Linked DNA regions of Lepisosteus oculatus. Each later gene encodes a partner of the first gene's protein in a complex. Links are inferred from orthologs where the notes say so. Each region holds a gene or a part of one and is shown on either strand. Other genes may lie near its edges.

Region 1 (10,523 bases):
GGTGGTAGATTTCAGGAGGAAAAAGGTCAACCTACTCCTGTCTACATCCATGGGAGTGGCGTGGAGATGGTGGACTCGTACAAGTACCTGGGAGTGCACATCAATGATAGACTGGAATGGTCTAAGAACATCGAGGCCATCTATAAGAAGGGACAGAGCCGACTTTACTTCTTGAGAAGGCTCAGGTCCTTCAATGTGTGTAGTAAGATGCTACACGTGTTCTATCAGTAGGTGGTAGTGAGTGCCATTTTCTACGCAGTGGTGTGCTGGGGCTCTGGGATTAGAGCAGTGGATTCCAAAAGGCTGAACAAGCTCATCAGGAGAGCAAGCTCTGTCATTGGGTCTGACCTGGACCCCTTGGAGGTAGTGGCTGAGAGGAGAATGATGTCCAAACTAGAGGCCATCATGGACAACTCCTCCCATCCCCTCTATGACAGGCTTGCAGGAATGAAGAGCACGCTCAGCAATAGACTGATTCATCCACGGTGCGACAGGGAGCGCTACAGGAGGTCATTCTTGCCTTCTGCCATAAGACTGTACAACGCATCCACCTTGCATCTTGGCAGAGGCAACATCGACAGTGACCTGTTTCTGGACTAAACGCATCTACACATCTACTGCTACATCTGTTCTCTTTCTTTTTATTTTTATTTTTCCCGTTTACAACCATTTTTTGTGCAATATATGCCAGGGACCTGTGCAATACATTTATATTTATATCTATAGTTACATCTATATTTATATTCATATGTGTGATACGATTTTCTGTGTACTGTTCTGTTCTAGTTTGTTCTTGTGTGTCCGGACTGTGAGTAACTCTTGTATTGTATTGTATTGTATGTATTGTACTATTATTATATAATTTGTTACACTGTGGCTGTGTTGTGTGTGTTAAGCTGCTGTTGCACTGCAATTTCCCTCACGGGATCAATAAAGTATCTATCTATCAAACCTGTTCATAAAATTAGACTCCGTCAAGTAAGAGTTATTCAGTTACAAAAGTTCAAAAGATACTTGTTGTGCAGAACTCATGATGCTTTCAAGTCATGTGCTCCTACAGAAGTGGGAATCTTCACCACAAGCATGGAAATGGTTTGGCAGAGATGTTCCATGAGACCACAGGAATGTTCCTCCACTCAATCTCTACAGCAAATATTAGAGATCTGTCAACCCAGCCCAACACACAGGTGCTCAGGACGTCTAAGTTATAACGTCTTGTTATAAAAAGTCGGCCAATGCATGATACTAATTCTAGAAGGACACAGAATGTCTTTGATAACCATTGCCATGTGGGCACACGGATTCCAAAATGAAAAGATTCGGGGATTGTAATGACTTTAGTGTTGCCGAGTTGGTTAATGGGGCACAGATTTTGAACAATGCTCAGTATAAGACCGTGATGTGCGATGACCATTGGCAGCAAGCTGAATCCTAAAGTCAGCAGTAATGGTCTTCCACACCGATATGGCTATTGCCACCAAAATGTTTTTGTTCCCCAACACAGACCTCACTTAGTCTTTTGATTTTTATCCGGTATGCAAATGCTGAATCATTGCCAGATGAGACCACTACACACACTGTATAGTCACTGCATCAAACTACAGGATATTCATCAGAGCAAACAATGCATATGACATTCCTATTAATGGTCAGTACTGTATATACAGTCTGCTAATGTACTGTATGTGACACAGGACGTGAACTAGGTAGAGAAAAATATCTTAGCCTTCGTTGTTTCAAAGAAACAATTGAAGAAGCAACTGAGCAGCTTGATATTCTTGTCAGGTGGTTCCCATTCTTGGGGAGAATGGTGTTTATTATCAGGTTATTGTTGTTTAATAATTACCAGTTGAGTCTGCAACCATAACTGTTCCTGTGTGGAAACAATCCCCAGTGTCTCCTTTAAATCTGATGATAGATGAATGGACCTTGAATGCAACTATTGAGTGTGTTTTGTGATATCTATGCAAACAAAATTCCCAAACTTGATGCCACTTTTTCTCAGACTTGACTTTGATGTTTTTTTATTAAAAGCTTGAGAATCTGTGTGCCATTCATGCAGACAGATGCAAGCAGACATCACCTTTGCACATACTGTACAAAAACACATCCTCACAGTTCTTATTGCAGCCCTATTGCCACAGTTTTGTTTGTTTTTTTTCATATTAAAATGGATTGTTATTGCAGGTATATGAAAATATGCTTGGATTTCTCGATTAACATTCACAAAACTTAAGAATTATTAGTATTAAGACTACAAATGTTGCGTTTCTGAAGTGTTCCACTACGGAACACATCAAACACCAGTTGATAATAAAATAACGTCATAGGTCCACACAGATAATAGCTACTGAATTAAGGAGTATGCCTACTTAATTGGTCATCTAATGCAGAACATCCTAATTTTGAATGGGACTGCGAAATAAGTATAATTAAATGTTAATATCAAATACAAATGAGAGCATCTTAAATAATGAAACCCATACTGTATATTGTTCTTATTAAATCTCTTTTCATCCTGTTTTAGATACAACTTAAGAGTCAGAAACTTACCCCAAAGTACAACAGGACTCCATAAAAGGCAAAGGGCCAGAAGAAACAGCGGCGAATGGCATTGAGAAGATTGGGATTTTTCTTCGATGATGCAAGTTCTCTGTCCCATTCTCTACCAAAGACCGAAAACAAGGCAATTAGAAAACTGTCACTGTGTGGAAACAGACTACACAGCTTTTTTCACATAGTTAGGTTGACTCACGTATAACCAGGGAGATCTGGCTAACTTATTAAACAGTAAAGTACACAGAGACCTTGAAGATCGAAAGGGTACCAACTTGTTAATTGAATAAAAGTTCAAATTCCCAGTAGACCACATTTTTGGCTGATTAAAAATGGCTAACTATATATCACCCAACAGGGGGCTGGCAGTTTAAAAGGTCACGTTTCATGCTTATGTAAGAGAACTGCTGAGATCTAAAGAGAAATACACAAATAATGGTAAAAATAAGGGCCTGGAGGAGCTCCAGTCCCAAACAGGGTAAAAACAAGGGCAAACATCTTTTAAGTCGCATGTTTGTGTCTTTAAAGAATGACAGAGGTGACATTTGGGGGTGGCCTGCGCTTTCAATGGCAAATATCCTAATTGGTGACATTTGCAAGACTTTTTAATTATAATCGGCAATATAGCCGCATAGACTGCTAGAGATACGATGGGTAAGGCGTGTGTTTTTTGGGAATATTTCACAGTGTCTGGTGTCTCAAATGCCTACCCACATTTCAAGTAAGACCTACAGCTGAAAGTTTCAGTTGCTAAAACAAGTACTGTACAGGGTTTCTCTGGAAATACAGTAGGAAATACACTTGAATAGCAGGTCAACTAAAGGACCTGCTATTCAAAACATAAGATGATGGTTACAGTGCATATCACAAAAGGGTAACAAGAAAGAGTTATTTATAGTGTTTTTCTTTAATGTACATACAGAACAGAAATGTTATATATAATGGATATATCAATAAATATTTGTACTCAAAGACTAAAATAGTCAGATTAAGGTATTATTGCAATTAAAGGTAAAAATACAATTTTCTGGACGTTGCGCGTGAAAGCTTCAGTGAAAGATTGCGATAAATGCAAACCTTTCTAGTCTTTCAGAAAGATGGTCAGCCGAGTCAAATGAAGGCACCTGATAAACATCTGATAATTCTAATTTCTGCCTGTATCCCTTTCTCAAAATTGGTGAAGCCCACCTGTAAAAAAAAAAACAAATCATCATAAATCAGACCTACAGTACATTCACAGATGTATCACTGATTTATAAATGCCACTACTACCTACTGAACATAGATCTACATTCACAGATTTATGACAGATATCATACATGTCAATAGTATCTATTGTAAACTTAAGTAAATAGAGTGTGAAGGGGATCTTTGTTTGTAATTATTATAACCTAATTGCCTTTATTGAGAAACAACTGTCATCTACAGTAAGTATACAAACAATGTCACAATGGTTCAGTCACTGCTTCTCCTAGAACAAATGTTGTCTGTGATTAAATTTAATATATTATGGAAAGAATATACAACACAAACAATTATGCAAGCTTTTAACACATACAGTAGTTGAAAAAGTTGTACAAAACACACTGGTGTATTTACTTGTATCTACTCAGCAGTAGTTACGGTTTTCGCTATTTACTAGAGTACATGTTTTCTAAAACTACGTTTTACGTGAAGAAAACTAATGATGAATTACTTCACAGCTTTCAATACTTTCATTTGTGATAATTGTATTCTCACATTTTGACACCAAGAAGATCTCCCGCTCCAAAGTATTTAAAAAAAACACTGGCAATGTTTAACAATAGTTAACTCATAACCACATCATATAAGAAAATCGAATTAAAAAATGCGAATTCATTAAACAATAGCTGACTTCTTAATTTCCTATAACTCGGGAAAGCTTTAATGAAATCTGATCCTCAGGCACGTCGCTGCAGGTGCACTTCATAAAGTTCTGAAATAACTTCGGACAAGGTAAATAAATTAATCTGTTAGTCGTATTATATTTTCAAACTTCAATATAAAAATGAAAGTAAGAAAAGTCATGCTATATAATTATCAAACAGCAGGTTAATGAACCACGTGCAGGGGAAAGTACATACAGTATTTCTAAAAAAATATTAGGACTACCAAAACGAATAAGCTAAATGCAGATTCACATCTGCACTGCAAAACTTTAGCAAAACTTTCTTTCAATTTCCATGACAGAAGAAAAGAATCGTGGTTTCATTTTTATCCTTGACTGAAACTAGAGTAAAAAAAAACACTTACCAGAAAAAAAATCTCGAGAAGGCGTTAGCATCTTCTGCAGGTGATTTCTGCATTCTAAAACAGCTTCCGTGCACCTGAGAGATGTGCTGGTTAAACTGGTCATCTGTAAAGTCTCCAAAATTGAATCAAGTCCCCGGTTTTGTTCTCCATGTCAAGATATGTGTGCGGTGATGTCACTGGTTTAATTGGCTCTGCCCTGGTTATAGCGTGTGCGAAGGACAAACCAGAAGGTTTGAAGAGTTGCGCTGTCGAACTCCACGCTCAGAGCCCACGATAAATTCCTTGTGTGTTCTGCGTTCACTGAATATTTTCTCCTCAGTCTGTTAACCTAGAACACTCAGTACATTAAAGGGACTGATTTTGAATAGCAGTGTGCGACCCACCTCTGCCAGATTTCATTCTGAAGTTTTGATTTCCATTTAGGCAACATTGCGCAAAAAAACAGCAGGGGAATTCTTATTTCGGCCAAGGCGTTTGACAAGATGTTTAAGTCTCAATATCATTAAAGCGTTTTCTTACGGACAAGAAGAAATGAACTGGGGAATGAACACCATTTTCACAGAGCATTAAGTGTTAAATTGCAGTATGGTACATAATACAAAATTGTGATTTCTATTATTTTATAACTGACGACAAATATCAAGAAAGTTCTTTTTGCTGCTGTATCTTATTGAAGACTTTCAAGACAATTATTTTAAAAAATAATTTAAATGCAATTTGTACAGTAGTCACAGGAGAATTCACAATTATGGTAACAACCAAACCTATTCCTAAAACGGGTAAGAATAAAGGTAGAATCTGCATATCCATCTTCAGAAAAAAAAATGCAGCAGACAATTTTGTCATTTACTCCAAGCATTTCTTTTTTAAATATCCCTTATTAGCAATTCCTCCTGAACTGCATCTTGGCTCTTTGTGTCACACAGCTTCATGCAATTTAAGCAGTGTATTAGCATCTATATTTGTTAATTCTGTCCTAAACGCCTAAGAATATAAGATTAACTTCTCACATGTCTGTTCTGACATTTCTGTTTCAACTGTAAACATCAAAGGGTGGCAATGCATCATGCTTTCCTGTTTCTGATTTAAGATATTTATGTTTAGTCAGTGTTTACATCCATAAACATTTGCAAAGCAAAGCATTCATCTGTAAGTCTTGATTGTACCACACAACACTGAAAAATGAAATAAAATTTTGTAAACAGTCATGTAATAATGTGTCGGCAAACTTTTATTTGAAACAAAGTTACTCTATAACTCATGTTTTTTTACTTTGTATACAGGTATATACTGCATCATTCTTATCTTTTCAAAGCTTTAAAGAGGAGCAATAAATATTAACCTGACCCCCATAACATACAGAGTGTAAGGCAATCAATACAGAAACAAACATTATTAAAAATAAAAAGTTATGTAAACTTATTTAATCTTAAATAAGAAATAATTTTTGTATTTCAATTATATGTGAATTCAATACCTAAATAACCTTACTGTGTTACAACATCTAAGGTGTCTTCAACAGGGAAAATAGTAAGAAAGCTAACATGGTTCTCATCACACAAGGGAAAACTAAAATATTTGTTTGTAAGTCTTTTTTCCAAAATTAGATGAAAATTTCAGAGAACTCTGGAGAGGTGATCAAAAAGAAACACTAAAGAAACAAATATTCCAATCTAGACCGCATGCAGTGCTAAACGTAGGGGTCGGTGAAACACTGCTTACAACATAAGAACATGAGACCAAACAAAACCTATGGAATAACACTTTTCCAAACCAAAGAGGCTTTTTCTTTTTCTCAGCACCTACAAGCACAACTCAAGCATACAGTATTAATGATCTTTTTTGCACATTTACAAAAAAACAACTGCTACCACATTTCAGCATTCAAAACTTGGGAACCAGCTGCATCTCATGCCCAGCAATCCTCCCCCACAACCTTCTTTAAAGCTTTTACATACTGTAGCTGTTTGTACTTTAGTGCTATCTTTGCTGTTTTGGAGGAGCTGTTCAGTATTTCAATGCTACAAACAAGACCTTCAGAGACCTAAATCACTGCTATTGTACAGTATATTGAAACATTCTACAAAACTGACTAAAGTTAAATCAAATCTTTTTCTGCTTTAAATCTTCAATTATTTTATAGGAACATGTTTTTATTATAATGTACAGATGCAGTGTTTGTTTTTCATTTCTACTGTATGCACCGAAATGGGTGTAGACTTTTCAGCTTAATATTCTTAATTAACTAAAACAAAGTAACTGTTACTGATACTGGGAACTTTCTGTTAGCTTCAAGTTTCCTACATATTTTCTAAGGATTAAAAAGGTTTAGACATTCCATTGTGGAACACAGATAAAAACGGTGAAGCACAGCTACTGCTGATGGTTCAGAAGTAACCTGAGTGGACGTCTAATGAATGCATTTTAACCTGAGCCACAAAAACTCTTCGGTGAGGTAGGGGTTGATCTATGAGCCCATCCTAGAGCTTCAACTCTGACTGATTCATCCACGGTGCGACAGGGAGCGCTACAGGAGGTCATTCTTGCCTTCTGCCATAAGACTGTACAACGCATCCACCTTGCGTCTGGGCAGAGGCAACATCGACAGTGACCTGTTTCTGGACTGAACGCATCTACACATCTACTGCTACATCTGTTCTCTTTCTTTTTCCTTTCCCGTCTACAACCGTTTTTTGCCAATATATGCCAGGGACCTGTGCAATACATTTATATTTATATTTATATCTATATCTATATTTACATCTATATTTATATTCATATGTGTAATATGATTTTTCTGTGTACTGTTCTGTTCTAGTTTGTTCTTTATGTGTCCGGACTGTGGGTAACTCTTTTAGTGCACCCCTCACTGTACTGATTGTATTGTATTATTATTATTGTATCATTCGTTACACTGTGACTGTGTTGTCTGTGTTAAGCTGCTGTTGCACTGCAATTTCCCTCACGGGATCAATAAAGTACAGTATCTATCTATCAAAACACAGAAAACCGCAATGGATTTGTATTTGAATATTCTTAACATTTGGAAACAAAGTCAAGGCAAAGCATGAGACAGATACATTTTTTTTATTACCTCCAATAATGTAAAGAATAATTTTGAAAGGCTGCTGTAAAATGGCTTATTAATTGTAGAGGGTGGTGTTCCAATAGGTACCAAGCTCACAAACCAAGCCTAATCCCAGTAAAACATATAAAAACACATTATGTAAGTAATAGAAATTTCCAGAACAGTAGAGGATTACTTTTTTGTCAGAGCATTCCATAACATTGCTTCCAGTCTCTCACTGAATACATTTTTATACATTTTTGAAAACATAACTGACTCGAAATAAAACAATCACAGGTGCCAGTGACTATCTTGCCCAAAAAAGCATCCATCCAAATAAAGGGAACAAGCCCTTCTATCAAGCCCAGAAAAAAGTCCTCCAAGTCAAATAAAATAGTATATAAAAATAGGAACATGCCCCAAAATAGAACAAATGCTTATATTTGCAAAATAAGTATTGTTTTATATATATATACCTCGGAGTGTTTTAGCCAGACAGACGTAAAAAAAGAGAAACTCAAACCTTGTGAACAAAGATATTGTCAAGCTGAGCTGAAAAGTGATCCAACACACATGCCTGCCTGAGAACTCAAGTGTTTGTTCTATTTTGGAGTACATTGCCATTCTTTTTTCCTACAGACAGAATCAATACAATATAAAGGTTCCCCAAACAAAAGAAAAACAACATTTTTCCCACCCTATCAACCACCCCCATCTCCGGTCACTCGCACTCCAAATATCCAGCCAAAAGATAATAATAATAATAATAATAATAATAATAATAATAATAATAATAATAATAATAATAATAATACACTTTATTTTACTGTATATAGCGCCTTTAAAGGTGGCTTCTCAAAGCGCTTTACAAGATGACAACAACAATAAATAAGAAGAATACACAAGATAAAACACAATTACAATATATACAGGAGACCATGGATGGTGGTACTAAGAAAAGCAGAGGGGTAAAGAATGGAACCAGATAAGTAAAGGCTTTTCTAAAGAAGAGGGTTTTGAGTCTGGATTTGAAGGAGTTTAGAGAAGGTGACTCTCTGATATTCTTGGGCAGAGAGGTCCAGACCTTGGGGACATAACAGGAGAAGGCCCTGTCACCCATACAATGTAGACGGGCTTGGGGGACAGTTAGGAGACCAGAATTAGAAGAGCGAAGGTTGTGAGGCGGGGAATAGGGCGATAATAGTTCAGACAGGTACTGAGGTGCCAAGCCATGCAGAGCCTTATAGGTGAGCATGAGGATTTTAAAGTCCACACGGAATTTGACCAGAAGCCAGTGCAAGGACTCCAGGATAGGAGAAATGTGTACACTTGCACTAGACCTGGTCAGGATTCTGGCTGCTGAATTTTGGACATACAGTACTGCAGTTTGTTCAGAGTAGATTTAGATACCCCAGCGAGTAGAGCATTACAGTAGTCAATTCGAGAGAACACAAATGTGTTGATCAGCTTTTCAGCCACAGTTATTGATAGCATAGGGCATGGTCTAGCGATATTTCTAAGGTGAAAAAAAGATGTTTTGACAGTATGCTGCAAAAAGATGCCATAAATTAAATCACACAAAAGTAATGGACCCACTGTACAGTAAATCCAGGCTTGACCAGGCTGGACCACCAGTGCCCCATACTGTACATCCAAGGTGCTTCCCATCCTGGCACCAAAAACCTGAGAAATAAAATACTCTACACAAATGATGACTGGAAAAGTCAGGATCCAATGATGTCAGATAGTGGGAAGAAGAGATGGCCACCAAAAAGCCCAGAACATTTTAATCATGGTAAGACTAGCCACCAAGCATGGAGTCATCATTTAACAAGAGCACCAACAAAAATTCAAAGCAAAGCAGGTAATCGAGCAAAATATTTTAAGGATGATGTGGTTTTTGCTGTCTGCATATAAAATAAACTATATTCTGTGTTATTCTGAACGATGCATAAAACTATTTTTTCAGGACACCTGAAGAAGGCTTCACAGCCAAAACGTTGTGTTTTCTCTCTTCTTTTTTCAGCATGGAATAAACCTATTACTTGTTCCTTTGCAGACTACGCATGCTGATGCAGCTACCCACCTGAACCACTATATAAGGCAGACTGTAGTACATTCTGTAGCATTATCCCATGACTAACCTTTCTACTGCAGTGTCTTCATGAAACACACCGACAGCATGTGATAATAGTTTATATTCAAATTGTTGTGGGATAAAACAATAAAAAACACAGGAGATAGCCTGTACAAAGACAGAGAACCCATTTCAAAGTACAGTATACTGTAGCTTTCATTAAGATGAGTTCACTGAAGCACACGCTGAAATGACATTTGACCAGCAAACCATTTCAATGCAGAACAATAAAGATGTTCACTGTGTAACAAAAAAAGGTAAAGTTACAGTATATGAAGAGGAAGTACAGAACTACAGTGTATAAACTGGGACTTGTGAGCAAAATAAGCTGACAGTGGGCAGAAACCCTAATTTAGCAGTCATGGCCATTGTAAAAGCACTGCTGTCCTGAATTTATAAATCAGCAGATTATTAATATTAACTGTCTCGGTGTGTGCGTCTTTTTGTCAGGACCTCAGTCCATCTCTTCCCATCTCTCAGTCCCATAGT
Region 2 (10,319 bases), on another chromosome or scaffold:
GATGTTTCAAGTGGCCCATTTCCCGACTCCTCAGTGCCCGTATTTGATTCAAATCTAAATTCAGGGACCCGAGTGTCTGAGGGAGATCCTGTGGAACTTTCACAAGGTGATTTCCAGAAAGACTTAACATTTTAAGGGATTGTAAAGATGCAAAAAAGTTTGCCGGTAAAGAGGGAATCTTGTTATTCGCAATGCTTAACTGACGGAGCTGAGGTAGTTTAGGGGAACCCATTAAAGATTCAATTTGATTGCCATCTAGATAGAGACTTTCGAGTTTTAACAGAGAGGTAAATGTGTTCCCTCGAAGGCTGGATATCAGGTTGTTTTGAAGGTCAAGAACGCGCAGGTTTCTCAAACCATCAACAGCTGACTCCTGCAGGTGCTGTATCCTGTTATTTCCCAGTTTGAGGATTTCCAGGCTATGGGGGAGTCCACGAGGCATGTGCTTTAACTTGTTCTTCAGGAGCTCCAGTGTTTTTAGGTGGCTTTGAGACTTGAAAGTGTTCACTTCTATCGATTCTATTCCACAAGATGACAGAACAATTTCTTCAAGTTGTGTCAGTCCAGTAAAATCACATCTCTGAAAAAGTATATAAAAACATTGTATATCTCAGTGATTTCGGCTTAATACCTACATGAAGTCAGTTGCCTAAGACAAAAATTCAGAACAGCTCTATGAATAAATGAATATACTGACATAAAATATTGGATTTAAATCTTGATGAAGGCACACGTACCAAAGATACCAAACATCTGACATTTGATATGAATGGTCATGACTTGTGATAGACACATCTCCAAGCCTAGAAATGGCAGACTACTTAAGTTCAGGGCTTTATAATACAAAATGTCTCCTTTTAGGACACTTCAAAATGGTTTATTAAGAGTTTGTGGTGTGTATTTCAAACCACTGATCATGCTAGACAATTTTTTTTCTTGTTGATTGTTTTCAGTTGCAGGTGTGTCAGTGGAAAATATATCATTCATTACACACATACCTTAATTAACGGGGAATTTTAATTTACATTTCTTTACTGAGTGGTGGTGAATTGTAGTGCCATCATTCTAAAGTAGTAAGATCCTCACTCCTTGTATAGTTTTAGTATAGGACACTTAAGTTCATGAGCAATTAAAATTGATTTTGTGGTTTTATGGACAATTAGGGATTGGACTTTTATATTAATTTTCAGATCATTGAAACCACTGAATAATTGTCTTCAAAGTATCATTCTTTCATAAAACTTAATTGAGAAAAAAATTGATATTTTTATATTGCATTTTAAAAGATAAAAGAAAGAAAATGCCATTATTCTGATACAGTATGTAATAAATGATTCAAAGCATGCCTCATGACTTCCTATCTTTTTGGACATAATGATGAACTGCTACTGTGAGCTACATGCATGATTAATGGATATTAATTTAAGAAAATAACTAATTGAACATACAGCCTACAGAATAACTACAGGACATAAATTGATTTGAGTTTATTATTGTTCAGATGTCACAAACCTTTAATTTATCAGTTAATAGAAAGCCTTCACAAATATGTTTTAGATTGAAATTAATTATACAGATTCACATAAAATATAGAAATAATTTAAAATCTGGAGGATGATGATGGTTTAACGATAATTCATCAGGAATATGTGTTTTTCCTAAAATATCAATATCATAATTTAATATTCACAAATATGTAGATTATGTGTGTGAAAATAATCATACATATTTAATCTATAGCTGCTGTATATCCTAGTACCTTAATCACACACACAAACTTCTTTTTATGTGGTAGGTTGTATTTAAACTTTGATTTTAGAAACGTTTCTAAATCTACATAAATATCATGAAAATTTTACCATCCAAAGAGATTCTGTTTTCTCAAGGATACACAGACAAGAAAACAGACAGGAACAGAATATATTCAAGTAGGTAGCTGCGTCAGCATGCGTAGGCTGCAAAGGAACAGGTAACGAGTTTATATTTCTTTTCAGCATGGAATAAACTCGTTATCTGTTCCTTTGCAGGAACAGAATATGATTCACAGATATGTTTAACTTTTAAATGGACTCCATATTTAACTATTTATACATACATCCTTTATAACCCACTTTTGTACATAGAATATAAATGCTTATATAATCTACACAAAAGCAGCGAACAGTTCGAAATACTGTATTTGTTTAAATTCCAAGGCACAAACCACTTAAACCTTTTTCTCTGTTGCTAAGAGAAGTCTTAAGTCTTCTCAGAAACCTCCTATAAATACTGGTACAAGTGTAAACTCCCCATAGTGCAAATCTCTGAAGGAAGTTTATATCTCTGGTCGGCTTGTTTAGCTTTGCTCTTACCTTTAAATCCTTAATGTGGTTGTATCCTAGATTCAGTTTCCTTGTATCTTTTGCAGTCCCAGACGGTACAGCATGTACCCTGTAGCACTGTATCGACTTTTCGTTTTCACAAATGCAATTCTTTGGACATCCATTGTCATTTAGGCAGTAGCAGAGATGCAACAAGATGCAGATGGAAATTAAAATAAACTGCATGCTGAAAATACAACTAGGGAAGTCACTTTGGTCCAGAGACAGCACTCTCTGTAACCTTCGATCTCTTGTGTGACTTATATAGCAGGACATCCTAAAACCTAATGCTGGTAAGAGAGTGTTTTCTCAAGCCTATTTGGAACAATACTACAGATTTTTATCTTGGTTAAAAAACACCACTTGACACTAACAAGGAACTGACCTAAACAGTAATAGATTGGACCTCTGTTTGTAGACGTGAGAAACTTGCTGATAAACAATTTATTGCCCTTGCTGGTGAGTGCGTGCAATTTCCTTTGCTTTATCCAATTCCTTCCTGGGTGCTTTTTTCAATTTAAATAATAAAGCACTCCATTGAAAGTGTCAGTGGATTTTTCACTTTTAAAATTTTATAAGATCTGCTAAATCCTCCTTGGCTCCTTAAGGAAAAAAATGCCAGAGATTAATTAGCTGTCAGTCTTTTAATTGTGTCTGTGTTGTCATTTGATAACACTTGTTGCCACAGGTGTCCTTGGCTCCCAGTGTGCCTGTTACTCAGGCTTTATCACAAAGAGGGTCACCCAGAGGAAATACTTTTGAAAGAACAACCCATGTGAACTGAGGTTGCTGAATAGGGGTCACAGAACCCGGAGGATTGCTTCATTTGTGGAGCAATAACACCACAGAGATATGTGACCCTCCCAAATAATATGCGATCAAGCCAAGAGATTAAAAGATTCCATCCTTTAAAAGCAAGAGACACTAAAACACAGATCCTACTCTTAGCTTCTGTATCTGCAGGAGTGTGGGATATTTATAATTCATCTGAGAGGGTGTCCTGCTGTGTTGAGATATAAAACATTTTGCTCCCTGTGATAGCTTGGAGATAATGAATATAAAAATATCTTATGTGAGAACAAATAGTTCAATTGTTTTCGTGAGTGCTATAATGGTGAAGTTCAGTATGTTTTCTCATTTATAATGTTTAAGGTAAAAATATGCCTTTTTCACAAGAACAGAAACAGCTTGAACATTGTGCCTGGCAACTTTCAGCAATACTTAGAACAAAACGTTGTATTTGTATTTATTTTAGTCTCCATTGTAATAATCATTTCTACTTCTCTCTTGGCCTTGCAGTTCATCATATTAGTGTCCTTAAACTGGATCCTGTTCATTTTTTAAACTGTTAACAAAAGTATTTTTCCCCAAAAATATTTTTCTTAATTTGATTACTAACGCAATTTGGGGTGTAACTTTGATTCACTTACTTCTGGCATTAACCTGTTCAGTTTTTTTAGATGGATATTTTTTAATAGTTGTCATCCATTCTCCAATCTTTCATTATTTACCCTGTTGCACTCTGGATCTCTCAAATTCCCTTTCATTTCTTTAAAGTCAGTTTTCCTGAAAGTATATATATATTTAAAACTCTTTTGGACTGTACCTACTGTACACAGTTTTAAAAATGTGAATAGCACAACACGTTTTCTCCGTGAATCTGTACCCTATGTTTTATTTATTCTTTGTCAATGTTTTTTTGTCTTCTACTTTAAAATGTTTTTGTGTATGTGGAATATGTGAGTGCAATACAATTTAACCAGCATTTTTTTTACTCCTGGGGTGCTTTATAAATATTTTACGTGGCCAGAGGGTTAGATGCATGCAGTGGTTTTAAAATTTCACAAAATAACAAACCTATTCAGCACGACACCTTTTTTATGCTGAAGAAATACTTGGTAAACGATGTGAGGGGTGGGATTCGTATTTCAGGATCACTCGGTTTATAGGGTGACACTTTTATTTAAAACAATGGATTAATCTTTATCTTAGTGAGATTAGTTCTCATTATACATTACACATGGCACACGGCGTGGCGGTCAGGCTCACGACTTGCGTGTCCTGAGTTTGATTCCGGGCTGCGGTGCCTTTCTGTATGCCTCTTTCCAGGTGCTCCAGTTTCCTCACGCCTTCAGGAACAAGCTTACTAGGTCTCCTGGTGTCAGGAAATTGTCCCCGTGTGTGTGCTCTGACGGATGGACACTTCGTAGAGGATGTAGCGCTGCCATGCACTCTACGTCCGGGATAGTCTCCGGGTTGCCCTGATCTTTTTAAAGGATTTCTGTAAGCGGCTTTTTGATAATTTAGTATTGCACTGCATATTTTCCCGTCGGTATGCAGGTCTTAATGAGCTTGCTTGAGTTACCGGTTCTTCAAACAGCCAGCAGATGGCCATAAAATGTGCTTATAATTGCTTACCTACTAAAAGCTATTGAATAGTAGTCAGTTGATATAAAAAATAATCAAATTAATTCAATTAATAAAAAATAATAAATGAATCAAATATAAAAAATAAAAAATCACCGATATGTCAAGGCATTCTCGCATAACTTTTAATCACACTTTTGCAGATATACGTTTTGACCACTTCTGTAAGATCGGGAGTGAGATTATTTAATTAGTATCATTTTCTTTTTCGTTTTTAAGAAGAATATTAGCCATCGGAGAAATAATTATTTTATTGTGTAATGGTTTTGTTTATATGGCATGAAGTAAACATTTTGGGTATAATTCCATGATAAAACAGCTGATCACACGTGAAGAAATGAGTTTAGACAGATTCCCAAAACGTGATTTTCAGAATGCTTTTTTCAAACACAGCACAGCTCCAGGTAAAATTAAATGGAGGCAATATGTTTTGAGGCTGGGTAAATCACGGTTGTTAGATCTGTAAGTAGAACTCCCTCAGGTCTGCGTATCCTGTTTTGACGCTCTAAATCGATTATCTCTTTACTCTCTTGCTTTTTCTTGACGCAGGTCCAGCTGTGTGGCAGGCAATGATAGTCAATCACAGACTCGCAACCAATCCGCACTTCGGATTTCCTGGTCCGCAGAAGCCGGACGGTACGGTAGAAAACAGGGTTGGCTAAGACGACAGAGCGTGGTGTAGGATAGTAATATTTTATTTGTAATAAATAGATACAAAAATAAACTAGAAAAGTGATTAATTTATTATCGAAAAGGTGCTGCCTAGAATTGACAAGTAGTAATTCGTCGCTTGCAGTATCTGTGATGTCTGCGACGGCCGGCGGTGTCTCACCAGCCCCTCAGGGCTCGGCTCTCAGTGGTCCCGGTTCGGGAATGTCAATGTTCCGATGGTTGGAGGTCCTGGAGAAGGAATTTGACAAGGCTTTTGTGGATGTGGATCTGCTCCTCGGAGAGATCGACCCCGATCAGGCTGACATCACCTATGAGGGCCGTCAGAAAATGACCACTCTGAGTTCCTGCTTCGCTCAGCTGTGCCACAAGGCTCAGACCATCTTCCAGTTAAACCACAAACTGGAGGTAAGCACTCGGACACAGAGCATGTTAAAAGTGCCCGACGCCAGACGCCAGACGAGACCTGTACGGCGATTTATTGATTAGGGAACATGGCGTAGCTTTGCAAGTTAAGTCACATTCGCAGTGCCGTGAAACCCAAGAAGTATGCTTTATTTTAAAGTTCGTTTCTGTACTTGTATGTCAGTTGTGTTTGCCTAAAAACATTGCTCTGAAAACACAGTCAGAAGATAAGATAATTTAAACCATTAGCTAAAGATTTAGCACAAATTTGTCTTACTGAACATGGAATTTATACCTAGCTGTTCAGAGGAATTAACTTATGTTCATTGTGTGTTTTGGTATCTTTAGCGTTTCTTTGAGGTGTCACCAGAAGCTTTAGTTACTGATGTTAGAATTATGCAAGATGTATATCAGATATATTTTAACCTCAAATACTTTTATTTTAAACCAAACTAGTCTTTGCTTTCTCTTTATCTCAAGTACTTACTGTTGGCTAAGACAATAAGAATAGAGTTAATAACATTTTTACCTGGCGTTTGGCAAAACCTCATAACATTTTTTAGTATGTTTGTTTTTGTTTTCTGATTTGTATAACACATTGGCTTTTTACTTTATAAGGTCACGTGAAGGACCACATTTGAAATTGTGAAATAGACATACAATATCCACTTCCTTGATGTGTTTTGTTGGATTTTGATTTTAGGGGTTACCTCAGTCCTGTGGAGTAAAACTCAGTAAACATGAGTTGTAATTGTACTGTGCTGTACTTCAGTTATATGGTAAGGTTTACAGGCTGGTGGTTTCTGAGAAGAAATCATCCAGTTCTGCTAGTGTGCAACAGAAGGCACAAGACAACTCTTTTGTAGATGACAAAGAAGCTTTAGAGCAAACAAGTAGAAATCAATTTCTTTATAAATCTTATTTAAGGTATCATCATTGTAATTCTTAAAACTCACAAAATATTGAGTTAAAGATTTTAAATAATTTGTGCCCTATCAAGCATTTTCTTGTGTCTGGAAAAAAGTAACATTTATGTTAAATGTAAAATGCAGGATCTTCTTCACACTTGTTAATTCCCTTTTGTAGTGAGTGGCAATTCAATTTTCTGTCATGTAACACTTGTCTTTTAACTGTACTGTGTGCTGTGCTAGTGGTTTTCTAATCCATCACCAAATGGTCTTATAAAAGCAAGCTCTTCTACCATTGGTTTAACTGGTGTGTCTCATTTTATACTTAAAAGAATGGATAGTACCCAGGCTAGAATGTGAATGGTTTGTAAGGCCTGATCTTTGAGTAAACTGGCTACATTATATACATTACAGAAGTCAGTCAACGTTTTGTGGTGTGTACTGTATGAAGGAATATATATATGCACAGTTAGAATGAAACTAAAGTTCAAGAAGGTATAATTTGTAAGGTACATAATGTAAAAATGTTTTATTATTTGTGCCTTTAGAGATGCATAAATGTGATACTGAATTGTTTTGGGGGGTTTAATAAGCCATCAATAATATGCTGTAGTAGGAGAGGCAATAACTTCACTGTTGACAGTAAGGTTGTTTTGTACGGAAAAGTTAAAGAGAAGAAATAGTCAGTACCCATGTTTGGCATACTTCATCAACTGAATTTCCTAAAAATAAAACCTTAAAATGGAGTTATATGAAGTTACAATTTCAGTTGAGAATATATTTTAATGAACTGTAGAGCGACTGGGGATTTCACCTTCTTAAAAATCTTTTAAGTAGAAATAATGAAGATCATCACATACTGTACAGTGCCTTGCAAAGTGGTTCCTCCCTACTAAGAGATGGAAACAGTGCTAAGGGTGGTTCCACCAAATACGTCTACGCTAGGTTTTGATTCTTCTTTGCAGGTTTTCTGTCATTTAACATTTTGGACCGATAAAAGTATCTAGTTTAAGCACTCAAGTTTTGATTGAAAATACTCACTTTAAAAAATGTGTATGCATCATTTGTAATTCAACAAAATGAGACATAACTGTAAGGGAGAATATGCTTTTGCAGGGCACTTCGTCTTTATCAGAAGCAGTATTTTTTCATATCAGATTTTTCTGTAAATGACTGCCGCAGCCCAGGAAGAAAATAAGCTCTGGTTAAAGACATGTCACGCTACTGGGCAGTGTATAATAATAATAATAATAATAATAATAATAATAATAATAATAATGTTTCTTTATTAGCCCTGTACAATATATTGCATTAGGACTTAATCTTTTCGCATACCCCAGCTTTTCTCCATGAGACACAGGACACAGACAGGAAGAGAAGCTTGGGGTCAGAGCACAGAGTCTGCCATTGTACGGCGCCCCTGGAGCAGTTGGGGTTAAGGGCCTTGCTCAGGGGCCCAACAGAGTAGGATTCCTCTGCCGGCTGCGGGATTTGAACTGGCAACCTTCCAGTCACAAGCACAGATACTACTAAGCAAAACATTTTAGTTGATCCCTAGAGAAACAAAAAAAATTCACAAGCAGACAGAAATGCTTACTGCCACTTAGTATGTCCAGAGCCTTTCCAGGAGCACTGTTCCTCTGCATGATATTTTAGACACCTAGATATTGATAGCAGCACCTGGAGGTTATGGAGTTCAAAGCTACATTATACAGTCCCGGCATTCCTCAAACTCACTGAACATAGTAGTTTTCTGAAAGGTCAAAAATGAGGCCATCTATGCAGACAGATCAGTGAGGGTGCTAACTATTGGTTTCTAATAACAGCACCTTAGTCTCCAAAGACAGCCAGAATGTAAGCAGCTAAGTATACCGTGACCAAGAATAATTTGAAGTCAACCACATCTCTGAAACTGCATTATTTACCTGTTGATGGTGACTCAGTACACTCTGTCTGTACCCAGACTGGTCTTGTGGCCAAGTAGGTTCTGCTAGCTGTACTACAGTCCGTAGCCACAAGAAAGGCAGGTTAAAAAAAGCAACATGTACTCAAAGGTGTTACTGCATCGTTACCTTCATATCTTCTTAAGGTGATGTAATCTTAGCCAAGCCCATTACTTCATCTGAGTAAAAATATATTTTTTATAGAATTTAAAGTCTGAATTGAATTTTACCATGAAAGAAATTAAGGAATAAAATATTGTAGTTCAGGTTGTAGATTATGCCGGTTCAGGGACGCCAAATATGTAATCATAGTGGCTCTCTGAAGGCACCAGTTCTGTAGGGTTTGGGCATTTACTGAGACAATTTTTAATTGTAGCAGTAAATCACAAAGTTGATTCTTTTGGTGGCTTTAGAATCCAACCATGCGACATAACTCAAACAACGCGCACACACAGGTACTAATACACGAGGATACATTTATTAATACATAGAATATGCATATAAACCTAACAGATCTTATCGAGAGGGTTATCAGAATACAAAAGATATATATTCAATCAGTTACAAAGAGTTACACATAAAGAGGACATACGTTCAGTATATCATTCATTAAGACCGTTTCGTAAAGTGAACTTGGTTACAACTTCTACATTAGATACTCAAACAAGTACATAACTCTTAGGAATTAAATTGATATCAACTGGTTTGGATAACAATTGAATTCTCGAGCTATAATGCATTGAAGTTGAATACTCATCCAATCTTTGGGGATTCAGATCTCCTGCGGGCACAAAGAAACAGTTGCAGGCCGTTGCTGTCCAATCCGCGCTCTCTGGCTCGGTGCCAGGCTGTGCTGTGCGGCTTGCGACGGTGCGCTGCTGATGCTCATTGTTGGCTTTAACTAGCAAAGTTTGTGCACAGGAGAAAAGATGACTGTGGGTCCCAGCAAGTCAGGAAGAGGACCGGTTCGTTCCTGATGAAGAGCTAGTTCTGAATAGTGATTCAGCTGTCCACAGTTCCGACCTGTTCACGAGGCCTGCTGCTGGTTACTCTCTGGCAACCTCCACTCTAGACTCTTAGAACAAAGGAAAGTTCTGGCACTCGGACACACTGGCCGTTCCGTGGTTGTCCGGGCTGAGTCTCAGGATGGTCAGGAGGCGCGCTGCGAGAATGTCCTGCCCTTGGGAGCCTTCTGCTCCTGGGCCGTCCTGCCCTGGAATTCTCCTTTGAATTCCCTTTAGAACAGTCCACAGAATCCTCTCCAGAATCCCTTCTGAATCTGAATCTTGTTGAATCTCCCAGGCTCTCTGTGTTGCCTGTTTTTTACCTGGAGGAACTTCAGCTCATTGATTGGCTGAAAGTTCCATGGGCATCAGAGTCCCACGTGGGTTACTCGGCCCTACCAGTCCCTGATTGGTTGATCAAGGTGAGATATGAGTCACTTAGTCCTGACACTTAGGAATGCAATCCAGATGTCCAACTCGCACTCCCTAGACAGATAGGCACCAATGGATGACCATTGATCATGATAGCCAGGCTTAGCTAAGTGCATCCCCCTTTGGGAGCTGTCCTTGGACCTTAAATCACCTTGCATGAATGGTTTCTCT

The links.
Region 2: the proteins of cftr (region 1) and gopc are in contact, whole or in part, in an NMR structure (PDB 2LOB), measured with the Homo sapiens proteins. The link is inferred for Lepisosteus oculatus from reciprocal best matches to the Homo sapiens genes CFTR and GOPC. Residues at the interface, in NP_000483.3 of Homo sapiens: Val1475, Gln1476, Asp1477, Thr1478, Arg1479, Leu1480; in NP_065132.1 of Homo sapiens: Gly298, Leu299, Gly300, Ile301, Ser302, Ile303, Thr304, Gly305, Glu308, His309, Glu317, His319, Thr347, Lys348, His349, Lys350, Glu351, Val353, Leu356.

What each region holds. Positions count from the first base shown.
Region 1 is NC_090702.1:45,443,504-45,454,026, reverse strand, and holds the start of cftr (cystic fibrosis transmembrane conductance regulator), read right to left. Parts: upstream 5,232-10,523; 5' UTR 4,884-5,231; coding exon 4,831-4,883; intron 3,745-4,830; coding exon 3,634-3,744; intron 2,666-3,633; coding exon 2,554-2,665; intron 1-2,553. UniProt on the Homo sapiens protein: Epithelial ion channel that plays an important role in the regulation of epithelial ion and water transport and fluid homeostasis. Mediates the transport of chloride ions across the cell membrane.
Region 2 is NC_090697.1:32,947,886-32,958,204, reverse strand, and holds the start of gopc (Golgi-associated PDZ and coiled-coil motif-containing protein), read left to right. Parts: upstream 1-5,347; 5' UTR 5,348-5,591; coding exon 5,592-5,864; intron 5,865-10,319. Other genes in the region: nephrocan-like, read right to left, coding at 1-580, 2,352-2,546.